3 linked regions of the Drosophila melanogaster genome follow. The gene in region 3 interacts genetically with the main gene of each other region. Each region holds a gene or a part of one and is shown on either strand. Other genes may lie near its edges.

Region 1 (4,695 bases), on a different chromosome or scaffold from region 3:
TCTGCAGTGGCCATACAATACGAGTGCGTCATGTGCATAGGTGTGAAGGTTGCCGCGGGCGAGCAGCTGAAGCTGCAACATCAACGTTGCTGCATAAAAGGCTAATGCCCCGGGAAAAGTGGAGGCCGAGCTGCCATCGAAGTGCCCTGGGTGGCTTGGTGGCTTAGAGGTGCAACAGCTTGGCAGGTGCAACTGCATTACCATGCGACAATCTGTTCCCATTTCCCAACAGTGGCGAATATTTTTATGGCCAGCCGGAAGCTGAGTTCACTGAGTTCACAAGTTTTGGAAAAAAGTTGTATTTAAAATAAGCTAGTTGAATTTATTTTATTATAGTTTTCAGTTTCATTTATAATTAAAAAAGAAAGCAAGAACATAACAAGAGAAAGGATGTATATTAATTGAATTTGAAATTTAACTTCTAAAAATATGAACCAATTATATTCAATAAACTTTTCTTCTTTATGTGGCAATTTGAAAACATATTCGTGTTTCCTTAGCAAATGTTGCTTTCATCATTGTCCCTCAACACTTAACGAACGCAACAATGCTGCGAGAGAGCGGAATAATGGAATTGTTCTGAAACATTCCTATGTGTTGTAGCAACATGTTGCATGTGCCTAAGGGCAATTGAGTTAAAAGGGGAAATAAGTTCATTTTACCATGGAAAGCTGTAATTGTTCTTATTTTCAATCAACGTATTATTAACCCTAAGTAAATATATTGATTTGCTTATTTGCATACCAGAGTACTTAAGAATTTATTTATTTAATTTATTATTTATATTAATTCATTTAATCGATTTTACAACTCCTAGAATTGAAACAGGATGCCATGCATGCATACATTTCTTAAGCGTCTAAAGCGTGTCACACGCCCAATTAAAATTAACCAATAATGGCTAAGTGCATCATTACCCACAGCTTACGACAGATCAAAGCCCGAACAAAATTGAGCAATTCAAGCAGCAAAACCACCGGGCGATAGTAAATGCTCAAAGGCCATTGATAATCCTTCGCCAGGACGACAACAAAAGCTTGTTCATGCCCCTAACCGGGGGATAACTCAATTATGTGGTAAGTTATGGACACGATTCGAACGACGGCGGAGTGGAGGGTGGCCAGAGTTGACCTAGGCTGACCCCCAAGGAGGGATAAAGCCTTTTGGGCACTTTGCTGTCAAATTAGTGCCTAGTTCGGTCCGCATAATTGGCCCAGCCGAAAGTTTTTACACGCAGCCATAAAAGATTTATGGAAATTATGCATGTGTTTTTTGTTTATCCTGTCTGGGCAAAGAGGGGGGGGGACTTATGAGCGGTGCCAATAAATCACATGGCGAGTGGCCCATTAATTGGCTGCAAGCGCGCCCGAGAGCCAAAACAACACTCGACCAGTTGCCAAAGGTCACGTCCTGGCCGCATGTTGCACGAGGACTCGCACGAGCAACATGCGGCACGAGAGAGCGCGGCAGGACTCGTGATCCGAAGCTCGTCGCCGTCCGAAGTGAAAAATCGTGAATGATATGCGGCATGTGTTGCTACCCCGTAGCAGCAGCAGCGAGCAGCAACGAGCGGCAGCAACAACATGCAGCAGCAGCAGCAGCAGCAGCCGAGCAGCGGCAGCTGCGAATGTTGTTTAGTTCTTATCCGTGGCTCACAGCGTTTGGTTCGTCGTGCGGGTGCTGCTCTATATATCGATAGCGTGTTTGGCTACATATATCTGTGCCATTGCTGGCGCTTGCCACTATTGCCACCACTACTCAGCAGGGATTGCGATTCTCTAGACAGTGTGTTTTGAATTCTTTTGGCCCTGGCCAACTTGCAATTTATGTGGCTAATTAGAGGAATAGGAGGCGGCGGCGGACCATTTGTGCGTGACTCTCGAGCGCCGTAAGTGCTGCGCATCGTTTACGTTTCGTGTGCCGCGCCCCTACCGCCCACCAGAAACAACAACGACAACAACGAAAAAAAAAGAAGAAACGAATTAACACAACGTGCCGGAAAAATAATAATACACTCAAGTTATCAAAACACTTGAAGAGAACTGGAAAAAGCGAAGTTCGAAATAACTGCAGTGCAAAAAAAAAAGCGAAAGGAAATCGAAATTTAGGGCAAAAGCGGATTACGAGCAGCAATAACAGCCGAAAGCGGAAAATGCGAATGAAAATGAAACTCCAAGTGCGGGCAAACAAACAGCAAGACTGAAAAGTGAGTTGCGGAAAATTCGTAAAAGTGCGTAGTAGAGCAGATAGAAGGACCCCCGAAGTAAATCATTAAATCATATGGAAATGTGAACGCGTCACTCTGCCTCATTAACGATTTCCCATTTTCGATTTTCCATTTCCCAATCAACCAACAATACCAATACCGCACTCCAGCTGCGTGCGGATCATCAATTAATTCCAGTCAGTTTTCGCACTTTAAGCGCCAAAAAAAGCAGCAATAAAAAGGAGTATTCCCACACAAAGAGAGCGCACAAATTAATGACACAATAACACACTGCGGTTTCATTTGTAGTGGTCAGTATATATATGAGTATATCAGTGTGTGTGTGTGTGAGAGTGGGCGCAACAGTTCGTCGGCCGTACAGCCTGCCCCCTTCGGTTTTGATTATGATTCCCATCTGATATGAAACGATCCAATCCGATCGGTCGCGTGGCATATAATTTATCACAATTGCCATCGTCTGGCGGGGCAAAGTGAAAGTGCATCGGAGCATCCGCAAGATACAAAGATAGTAGATACAAGATACAAATTGCTTATGCAGACATCTTTGCAAATACGGGTCAGTGCATTGGAACAATAGCTGCGAGCAGCAAAAGTTTTGCTCTCTATCTGTTGGCCAAGCAAAAACATAAATTAAACTTGCCAGTTGGAAGGCCTTGAAAGTTCCTCTGTCCTTTGGATTAGCTAGCCAGGGAAAGCCAAAGAGCAGCCGGGGGTAAGTTGGTCCTTCTGATTTGTAGCCATAAGTCCGTGCTCCGGAAGCTGCGCCTTCAATTCGCAATGCCATTCCATTGCATCCCATCCCATCCAGATCCCAGCCAGCTAGCCAGGATCCACAGACAGCCGGGGTTTGCTTATGGGACAGATTTGTTTGCCTTTCAAATTTTCATCTTTGAGTGGAATGCTGTTGTGATGGTCACTTGAGAGCTGAGATTTATGTCGTTGCTATAGGAAAGGAAAACAAATTAGGCCAAGAAAGTCATTAGTTTGGTAGAATTTTTCTTGCTGCTTGTGAATTATATTTTTAGACTATAACATATATTTAGCCAGTTCTTTATTATTACCCAATTAAATTTGGCTTGTTGAATTCACTTCGCTCTTTCCTGACAGTACCGAATCAGATTTCAACTACGGTTTCTTGATAAATCCATTACTAAAAACGTTAAATCTACTTCCTGCTCCCCACTCACTCCACTCGTCATTTTTTTAGCGGCATATTTTTTGCGAGCTGAGCAACCTTGGCAACAATCCAGTGAAATCCTTGCATGAATTTCGCTAAGCGCCTCTTGCCGCCTTGCATCCAACATGGGAGTTTTCCATGTGCGTGGCCCCATTCTTGGATTCCTGGCTACTGCCCCATATGGTGGCACACATAAAAAGCAAATCACAAAATCCACTGCGCAGCTCCGTTTCCAACCAGTGGCAAAATATAAGAGGGAATAATAAGCTCTCATATAAACGCTACAGCCGCAGGATATTTGCAAAGCCAACAGCCCTCCTACCAGGATCCCGATCCTGATCCTGAGCCAGTGTCGGCACGTATATACGCCATATGCCATATATGTATATGCTAGCCTGTCCAGAGAGTTCGGCTTCATTAAAGCAAATAGAAGCCCAGAGCATATACATATGTATGTACATATATGGTATAAAGCGAACTCAAAATCACCCACACAAAGTTGAAAATACGAACAAAGCGAAACAAAACCAAGCGAAGCGGAGCGTGGCAAAAATTGCGAACAGAAAGTTTTGGGGCAGCAGCATGAGAAGGAATTAAATTTAGGTAAATGCATTGAAGGAATTCAATTTTAAACAAAATGCTGCTAGCGTCACACAAGCGTCAGTTCCGCATGAAATGTGTACTATGTGCAAATATGTGAGCGGGAAAAGGGAAATGGTGGGAGTGGGAAAAGCGTTGGCATCGCTGCTGCAGAACGGCTGCCAAACAATAAAACTTTCAATACATATTTTATTTGACTTTATGCTGCAATTTTATGCATAATAAATCCTGCAGCCCGAACAATTGCTTCACACCTCGAGGGCTTCGTCAAAATGGATAAATATTATGGATAAATACAATCAGGATGGCAACCGAAAGTAGAAAACATTCAGCGAGCGACTTGTGCATAATGAAGAGACTCCTGCATGCAGGATAAGCGAATGGCAACGCTTTTGGCGATAACCATTTTGGAAATTCCATTTAGCCCGCAATAAAATAAATCCAGTTTGAGCCGAGTTCGCCAGCTGACACCGCTCGGGATCACGACGCATGGCGTTCGGGGCATTTGGGAAATAGATGAAAATGAATCCTGGCACATTTTCCAATTAACGAAATTTACAAAATGCCAACGCGCCTCGGCTAAGCCGTGCAATTAAAAAGCTGGAGCACGTAGAGTGCAACGTGGGCGGCTAAGCTGAGTGGGAAAATTGAGCGAGTGGTGGGTGGCTGGTTGTGCGAGTCGGTTTTCCAG
Region 2 (4,891 bases), on a different chromosome or scaffold from region 3:
TCAATAGCAGCCAGGGTCATTTACTCAAAACATAACGAAATATCCCCTGTGTGCAGGTAATTTTGCTGGAGGAGTCCTGGTCGGAGCTGTTCCTGCTGAACGCAATCCAATGGTGCATTCCCCTGGATCCCACCGGCTGCGCCCTCTTCTCGGTGGCGGAGCACTGCAATAATCTAGAGAACAATGCCAATGGCGACACTTGCATAACAAAGGAGGAGGTAAGTCTACACAGGACTCCGTCTAATATGTATATTATATATATGACCACAAATTTCTGCTAGCTGGCGGCGGATGTGCGAACGCTCCACGAGATCTTCTGCAAATACAAGGCGGTGCTGGTGGACCCCGCTGAATTCGCGTGCCTCAAGGCGATAGTTCTCTTCCGGCCGGAAACGCGCGGACTTAAAGATCCGGCGCAGATAGAGAATCTTCAGGATCAGGCGCACGTAAATATACTGCACTTTTCAAAAGCAATAAAAGCTTCATTGAAATTTTACTTAACGAACAGGTGATGCTGTCGCAGCACACAAAGACGCAGTTCACCGCCCAGATAGCCAGATTCGGACGACTCCTTCTCATGCTGCCGTTGCTGCGCATGATCAGCTCCCACAAGATTGAGTCCATCTATTTTCAGCGCACTATTGGGAACACGCCCATGGAAAAGGTGCTCTGTGACATGTATAAGAACTAGTTAACTCGAGCTTTAAGTTACAACAAATTTAAATAAATATGTTTTTGTGTCTTGAATGTTAGATGGCGTGACTTTTGATTTTTCCAGTTTTTCACCACTAGTTGCATATAATTTCATATAAAAATGCTATAGAAAACAAAGTTAAAAAAAAAAAAAAATTTGATCGAAAATTATGTGTACTTTTTTTATCTGTACAAAGAACAAGACGCCATGAATTAACGTATGAATTTGAATTTTTTAATGAGTTAGCGCCAAAAGTTTTAGTGTTCAATAACATACACGGTGCTGTGTTGTAAAATGTATATTTCTATACAACCAAGCTGGTTTCGCTACCGTCCCATAGAAGCCGTTGTGAGCCTTTTAGAATCTTAACACCAGATGTCGCACAAAACTAAAGTTAATTTTCTTTCGATCTGGCAGCACGTTTATAGTTCCTATTTTTGCCGCTAGGCTGTGTAAAATAAAAGAGGCGTGTAGAAATGAGCATGAATGTAAGATGTAAAATTGTGTGTTTATTGGGCACACTGGAGACTTTTTGAAATTGGCGCCAATAATAAACTTTTGTTTAGCTAACAAGCCACCACAGAAAATGCATACAGAGGCTTTTAAGTGATTAGAATTGTGATTCTAAGCACAATTTCTTTAACAATTTCTGATACATTTACATCAATTACATTTGGAACATTTAATTAAACTCATATTTGGGTTAAATTAAATAGGAAAAGCTAGGTTATTTACGGATTACGTACAGCGAATCAAATTTTTCAAAATTAAAGTACGAGTTCAAAAGTGTTGCTAGTTACGAAGTGAAAAGATACGGGAACCGTATCTCTTCTTGTTGGCGAAAACCAAGGAGTAGATTGTTGATATTTAGGTATTAATAACAGAGGGCAGGACTTTTCTAGATGATTTTAATGCAGAGTCTAGTTTATCAGAATAGAATTGTAAGCAACTATTTCAATTTTTAATTCTGGTTCACATACAATTAAAAAAAACTTAGTAACTATAGGTGCATATATACAAGACTTCCTTTCTTATCTGCGCATGATGCCGCCAAAGGATTCAAAGCAGCTCCCGGAAAACCTTCAACCCTGATTGGAGCCCTTGGGGTCAGCTGGTCACACTGGGCAACGGGAGTAATCTGCGGGAGCACAGGCTCCAATTTTGATGCCAAAGGAATGTGCTCGGCGAAAAACAAAAAGGCAAACAAGAATCGCACATTCGTCGGGAAAACTGCAGTCAATGTCTGGGCCATAAAATGTGCAATTAAGCCGCAATAGATGGTAAAGTTCAAGTGAAATAAAGAAGGAATTACATGGAAAAAACGGCCATCAAAGCCAACAAAAATCTTCTGGCTTAAATAGCATGTGTGTGTGTGTGTTTGTGTGAGTGCGTAGTGAAATTAGTGGTGCTGTGGGTGTGCGCGAGTTACCACCCCACCCCCTAAACCCCCACGCCTCTAAACAAATCATCGGACACTCAACCGGGAAGACGGCAACTGGAACACCGCATCCGGCCGAATGCTGACATTCCGGCCGAATGCTGACATTACACAAAAGTCGCACTGCAACATTGTCCCCAGCTAGCCAGCCACATGCCGAGTCGGCATGTTCATTATGCTTACAATTAAGAACCTATGTACTTATGTATAAGACGAAAACGGAGGACTCGAGTAGCCACTCTCTGACAATAAACTTCATACTGATTTTGAACTTCAAGAAAGTCAGTCGTATTCTTTATTGGAAATCTTCACACTACAACTATCTGCTGAAACTTAAAAACCTTCATACATTTACACATCATATCTTCACAAAAGGCTCCACCCTCGATCACGGACTTAACTGGCGCAGCCGGTAGGATGTCCTACCTATTAATAATTACCTACCTGTAAGTAAACATGTAAGAAACGAAACAAACTATATGCAAGATGTCGACTGAAAGTGACTAGGAACAAATTTTTATAAAACAAAATTGAAGTTGTGAAGTACCAAATGAAACTCAAACATATATTCAAACACAGGAAAAAAAAAGAGAGAGGAAAAATGTAAAATAAATAAATATACAAAAAAAAAGTGCAAGTGTACCGTACTGCCGCGCTGACGTGGAATCTATCGCTGATCATCACGCCATCGGTATGTCCATACTCTGCCGAACGTCATAATTTTTTTTAAAAAGTGCAAGTGTACCGTACTGCCGCACTGACGTGGAATCTATCGCTGATCATCACGCCATCGGTATGTCCATACTCTGCCGAACGTCATAATTTTTATAAAAAAGTGCAAGTGTACCGTACTGCCGCGCTGACGTGGAATCTATCGCTGATCATCACGCCATCGGTATGTCCATACTCTGCCAAACGTCATAATTTTTATAAAAAAGTGCAAGTGTACCGTACTGCCGCGCTGACGTGGAATCTATCGCTGATCATCACGCCATCGGTATGTCCATACTCTGCCAAACGTCATAATTTTTATAAAAAAAGTGCAAGTGTACCGTACTGCTGCGCTGACGTGGAATCTATCGCTGATCACCACGCCATCGGTATGTCCATACTCTGCCAAACGTCATAAGTTTTTATAAAAAAAAAAGAGTGCAAGTGTACCGTACTGCCGCGCTGACGTGGAATCTATCGCTGATCATCACGTCATCGGCACTTACATACGCTGGCCAACGCATCGCCAAAGCCTCTATATACACTTATATATGTGAGCATACAATATCAACTACAATCCAATACATCCACGTACTGTACCGCCTCGTTGGCATGGAATCAAACGCTGATCACCATGCCACCGTGGTAAACAAACAAAGCACCAAAGCCTCTCTAATACATTGTACACTCAAAACGCACACTGCCATACGTCGGCGAAAAATCAAAACATAAGCAAAAATCATTTCAAACCAAGCGAGGCTCATTCTGCGTACCACAACGACAACGACACTGCATGTGTAGTGGCGCACCCATGTCTGGGTAGCCGAGGTAAGGGGAAAACGCTTGAGTATCGTCAAGTGTTCTTGCCTTTCACTCTTCTACAATGGGTTGCTACGCTCATGTATTGCACATTCAAAATAACCAAAACAAATGTACTAAAGAAGTCGACATATACAGATATATTTTGTTTCCTTTCATTGTGTAATTTTGTATATCAAACAAATACTAATACCAATCACATTGCAGAATATAAAAGGGAAAATATAAAGCCAAAGACAGACACCCATACACTCTAGTAAACAAGAAATTTGTTCATTATTTTTCAATCATACATAATATACTAAGTAACCTCAAATTTAATGTCAAAAAAGTTCGTTTACAACCTTAGGAAAACTACACGTTCAGTTGTTGGAGTTCCACCAAACACTAATAGGCCCCCACATCCCGTTAGACGTCCTGACTCCCTTCTCCCGATTTCGGAAGAACCCAAATCAATATCTTCCCAAACCCCCAATATGGACTCGGGAAACGATTCTGCCCGCCCCACTCCATCCCCTCTGGCGCCCACTGTCAGTGGTATTAGCTCCTTAATTTCAACTACGTTCAAGCCTAAAGATATCATGGCATTTGTTGAGCATTTGCCAACCTTTGATGGTACACCTCGTCTATTGGACAGGTTTATCACTAGCGTAGAAGAAATCCTGATGCTCATCAGGGGAGCTGACCAAACACCGTATGGCCTGCTTACTCTGAGGACCATCAGGAACAAAATCATTGATAGGGCCGACGAAGCCTTGGAACTGGCAAATACCCCCTTGGTTTGGGATGAGATTAAAAGCAATCTCATCCGCCTCTACTCGAGCAAGAAAAGCGAGGCCAACTTGTTAAGCGAGCTTAACACATTTTCGGACAACCTGACCTTGGGCCAACTGTTCTTTGGTATATCAAAGGTGAGAAGCCAACTCTTCTCCATACTCAAAAACAGCGAACACAACAACACTGTTGTAGATGCAAAAAAGGTTGTCTACAACGAGGTTTGTCTCAATGCTTTTATGACTGGTTTGAAGGAACCTCTCAAGACTTTCGTCAGGATAAAGTCCCCTTCTACACTTGAACAGGCGTACGAGCAATGCCAAATAGAGCAGACCTTATATAGGGCACAAAACAAGCGAACCAACAGACCAGAGCAGGGACCCAATGGATCAGACAATAAAACCTACCGAAATAGCTACGACAGCAATTACCGCAGCGGACGTAACGACCGAAAT
Region 3 (4,613 bases):
TATACTCGCATTTGTACTCAAATTCCAAGTAGCATAGCTGCGCTCGGGAAAGTGCACAGTTTTCCCAGTGTGCCAATAGGTCGTAGTTGCCTTTATTTTAAGCGATTAATTTATTTTGAAATTATTTATATAGGAAACCGTCTTAAGCAAAAAAAAAAAATATTGTGAATTATTTATGAAATCTAACTAAACGAAATCACTTGTTGTAAGAAATGAATTTATGTAAACTAACTGAAAAAGAAAAAAAAATTAAAAACAAAAGCACAGCATGTATTAAGTGATAAGCAAAATAGTCACGCACAAACATTTGATATGAATAAATTGATGTCTATGAAAAATCAACTAAATATATTTTTTAGTAGATTATTAGATTAATATGATTTGCTTAATTTTGTAGAAACATTTGTAATATATGTACATTAAGTCGTTGCCGCTTTGAACTCTTTTAGCCTGGTTGGAATAGAGGTTAATGACTTTATTGTCTCCAGTTGTCTGCATAATTTGTATTGCCTCGCCTCGTGCCAAGAAGTCTTGCAAAGCAACAAAATCGAATGTGTGTCCTTACACGAACTAAACGGGCGGCAAAAGGGGCGTGGCTGAGCTAATGAACTGGAAATGTTTTGCTCCAGTTGCCGGTGGTTGCTACCGTGTTGCATCAGCATAATTGCAAATTTTTATGATTATGACACTTTGGGCGCAAAGTGCCTTTGCCAATGGCAACTAATTTCTGCAGCCATCTCAGTCCCAGTCTGGTGGTCATCTACATGGGGCTATGCTCCACTTAAGTACTTCGAGTGGGCTTTTGCGGGACATTTTGGCAAGCGGCTTGATTTACAATTATGCTGGATTTGAATTTGGATCCCAAGTGGAGTCACTGACCAGCCCGAGAGTCGCCAGTTTCGGCCTCCATTCGTCAATGCTGGTCCCATTTTAAGTAGAGGAAGTGTTGTGTAATGGGAGGACATAGTTAAGTGGCCATAAGTATAATTTGAGTATGTGTTTCCTCGGCCTTTCAAAAACAGTAGGAAAATATATATATTTTTATAAATTTCTTTCGAAAGAAGTTGAAAATTGAATTAACCACGTTAAATTTACTTTCCATATACTTTTTCCGTACACTCAGACAGGAAGAAGTATTTCTAAAATATATGCTTATTTAAGCATACTTACCTTCCGAAGTCTTGTAATTAAACTCTAACATGTATTTAAAAAATTTAAAGTAAATTTAAAATTTAAAAATTTATTAAATTTAAAAATAATGTTACAATTGGTTTTTTTATATTGTACACAGTAAGTTGCCGTTTAAAGTGGCAGTCGTGGTGAGTACAATCAAGCAGTCAAAACGAAGCAGTTCTCTTAGGCAAAGCAGTGGGAAGGGGAAATCAAGCAGTGGAAGGGGAACCAAGCAGAGTTAGCAATAGAAGCATTTATGGATAAGAAACCCACCACACGGGTGCTCTCTCTCTCTCTCTCCTCGCTTTTCCATTCGTGATTTTCCGATGAAGGACGTCGGATTCTCCGAACCATCTTCGTTGGCCATTCGCCAATTGGGAAATCTGTGCACAGGACTCGCAGTGTCGCGAATCCTTCGACTCCTGCTGCAGTTTACATTGCGTTGTCCGTGCGTAAGGACGTGCGTAGATCATCATTTCAATTTTCGCAGTATTACGAGCATCGGAAATAACAGAAAAAATTGTTTAAAAAAAAATGGTTGAACTGCACTGAAACCGCAGGACTGAACCCAATTTTTGCTGTGGCGTGCGTGTGTGCGAGATGCAGTTTTTGTGTTTCTGACATAGCATTTACCAAAACAGAAGGCGGAAAATAGGGAAAAGGATCCGACGAAGGATCTGCGATAGTCCCAAACTGTGTGTGTGTGGGTAAGGCTGTTGCTTCGTCGCCACCAGTGCATGTGTGTGTGTGAGTGCGAGTGTGTTTGTGCAGTCACGTGTTCTAAGGTGATTTTAACGAGCTCCGTGATACGCGAAATGAGATAAGGAACGAGGAAGCAGCAGAATCGGGAGGAGTGAACGGCTTAGGCGGGCACAAAAAGGAGCAACAAGAAGCCACGCAGCCAAAGCCAACAACCAAATCCCCATTCGCCAGGACAGGATACTTGCTCGGTGCGCCTTAAAGGATTCTCTGATAAATCAACCGAAAATTGCATAAAATAAAATTGTTTGCCAAATTGTGCGCAGCGAGAGAACCAAAAAGCAAAAAAAACAAAACCTTATACTCACATGTGAAATATGACTAGCCAGTTGCATTGAAAGTACAAGAAAATAATAAGAGAGAAAATTTACCCAAATAACCTGAAGGTAGGAATACATTATAATCTCTTTGACACAAATTGATGCTTTGGGATATGATGTCAGGAAGGGTATTGGGATATGATTACGAATATTTAGACTCGTATACTAGAAACGCACAAGAGCGTATGTTATTTAAAAGAAAAACAGTTTTTTAACATTTGAAATTTGAAAAACTAATATTTTAATTTTGCTTCACAACAGAGTTGTAGAAAAATAGTTGATAAAGTTTATAATTGAGAATATTATTTGCAAGGGAATGCAAATAACGTTTGAGTAACAGCTCATAAGCCAGTTCAGCGAAAGCATCAACCTTTCACGAACTTTGAAGCATCCTCTGCGCTTCTGTAATTTCATATATCGCAATCTGCGACGTTTAATTTTGATGCACCATGTCCCTGCTCCTGGCAAGGCAATTTGAGGATTCCGGGGGTTTCCTTTCACATCCCAGCCAGCGGAAGATAAGCCGGAAGATGTACAGAAGGGCGTGCCCGTCTCATCCAACAGGCAAACAAAACTTGTCAATTGCCAGGGAGCGTGTCTCCGGGACCTCGGGCTCATCCTTTTTTGGTAAACATTTCCCATAGTTGCTGGGGAACTAGGCAACAATGTCTTGAGCTCAGTCCTAGCTGCTTCGATTTGCCCATTTTTTGTTGATGGAAAATGTCAACTGCCTGGCAGAGTTTTCATCCTCACTTTCGAGCAACCCACTGACTAGGCAAAAATTGTATTTAGTGGGACAATCAATATCGGATGAGGGAGGGGCAGTCAGTTGGGCGGCAGTCAAACATTTATTTGATTGACTGATTGATATGTGAAATGATTTATTGCCGCCGGAGGAGGAGGAGGAGGAGGAGGAGGAAGAGGAAAAGGCGAAGGCGAAGGACGAAGAAAAGTGCTGGCAAGTGTCCACAAACAGCTGAGTCGGAAAAGTTCCGAAACAAAACGAGAAAACCTTTAACCAGCCGAGCAGGAACATTTATTTCCCAGTCTATCTCTGCAGTTTTCCATATCCTGCTCTGTTTTTGCAGTGGAATTTCCACAGCTCTGTAAAAATGGCTCGGACCAAACTTTTTCGCACGCTTTATGGGAGAATAAAGTAAATAATGAAAGCTATTTAGCACAGCCAAGGGGCACATTAAGTCGTCGCCAGCCTTTTCGGATTATCCTGCGACCGGCTTAAAAATAACAATAGGACCAAGCAAACAGATGCACACTGTAAAAAAATAAACTCCGGCAGGATTTTTGAGTTAAAAATAAATAAATCTGTTAAAAGGAGTTATTACACATTTTGACTAACTCTCCTAAAAGTAAAGTGCTTATTTAATGAGAAGGAATATAAAAGGCGTATAAACTTTATGTCATACTTTTCCAGAAATCTACGAAACTTTTGTCATAAGTCATTATTAAAGGGAAATATAAAAATTTTCCGAATTATTTTACTAGCTTATTTTCATCTAGTTTGTCACCCATTACCAAAGTTACAGTATAATGAGCTCCCTTTTGGATTCGTATTATTTTACATGCATAAGCTTAAAAATTTGGCTAACCCAGAGATTATGAATTCCAACCAAAATCAAATCCTTTGAAATAGCACAATGTGTTCACCGAACTTCCTGGCGCTTAGTTCAAATTTTGAATATTGTCATAGATTTTATTCAAATAAAACGGACAGCATAATATTGGCATTGATAAATGGTGTGACAGCTCTTCGTATTATATTTTGGCCGTGTAATATCCGTCGAGAGAGGTAAACTGTGGCCGGCGTTTAATGAGCTGTGTCCTGATCTGAGCCTCGGATGACCGGCGGCTCCTTTCGCCAGTTCGCTGTTGAGCTGGAGAAATTTCAGCCATTTTTTACTGCCACCTGCAACGGTGTCGCATTCTTCTCTCGACCAGGTATTTCTCTTATAGCCTGGATCTTTTATTTTCGTTCTTTTTTAACTATTTGGTGGCGCTGCAAGTGCTGTGGCTTATGAAAAAGAACGCTGAGCGGAGGCACTCCGAAATTCGGGCGAAAATGCGAAAAAGAGGAACCTAACTAGGCGTGGGTGTTAATTAGTTTTTCGGCAAGTGCCCCGAAATTCTGTTTTCTTATTAGTTTTCACTTATTTGTTTAAGCTGATTATGTGCGTGTATACTCAACCAATGAGTTGTGCTAATCCTAAAGGAATTTGCTCGCAAATTTATGGCTTCGTTATCCCACTTGAGCTTTGATCTACAAAAGCTGGTTAAATGGCCAAGGATTTATTCAATTAGTATTGGCATAACTGAATTAGTCTTGGTTTCTGCCTTGCATTTAAT

Evidence for each region.
Region 1: of beat-Ia (region 3) and side, changing one suppresses a phenotype caused by changing the other (phenotypic suppression), as found in Drosophila melanogaster (one study listed by BioGRID).
Region 2: of beat-Ia (region 3) and unc-5, changing one enhances a phenotype caused by changing the other (phenotypic enhancement), as found in Drosophila melanogaster (one study listed by BioGRID).

The regions. Positions count from the first base shown.
Region 1 is NT_033777.3:27,434,434-27,439,128, reverse strand, and holds the start of side (sidestep), read left to right. Parts: upstream 1-1,646; 5' UTR 1,647-2,206; exon of another isoform or gene 2,207-2,939; intron 2,940-4,695. Other genes in the region: CG44290 (uncharacterized protein), read left to right, coding at 8-167.
Region 2 is NT_033778.4:15,338,630-15,343,520, forward strand, and holds the start of unc-5 (unc-5), read left to right. Parts: upstream 1-1,842; 5' UTR 1,843-1,974; intron 1,975-4,891. Other genes in the region: Hr51 (hormone receptor 51), read left to right, coding at 57-218, 282-446, 509-691. UniProt on the Drosophila melanogaster protein: Receptor for netrin required for motor axon guidance. Mediates both short- and long-range axon motor repulsion in the developing nervous system upon ligand binding. Also involved in glial migration.
Region 3 is NT_033779.5:16,048,393-16,053,005, forward strand, and holds the start of beat-Ia (beaten path Ia), read left to right. Parts: upstream 1-1,572; 5' UTR 1,573-2,318; intron 2,319-4,613.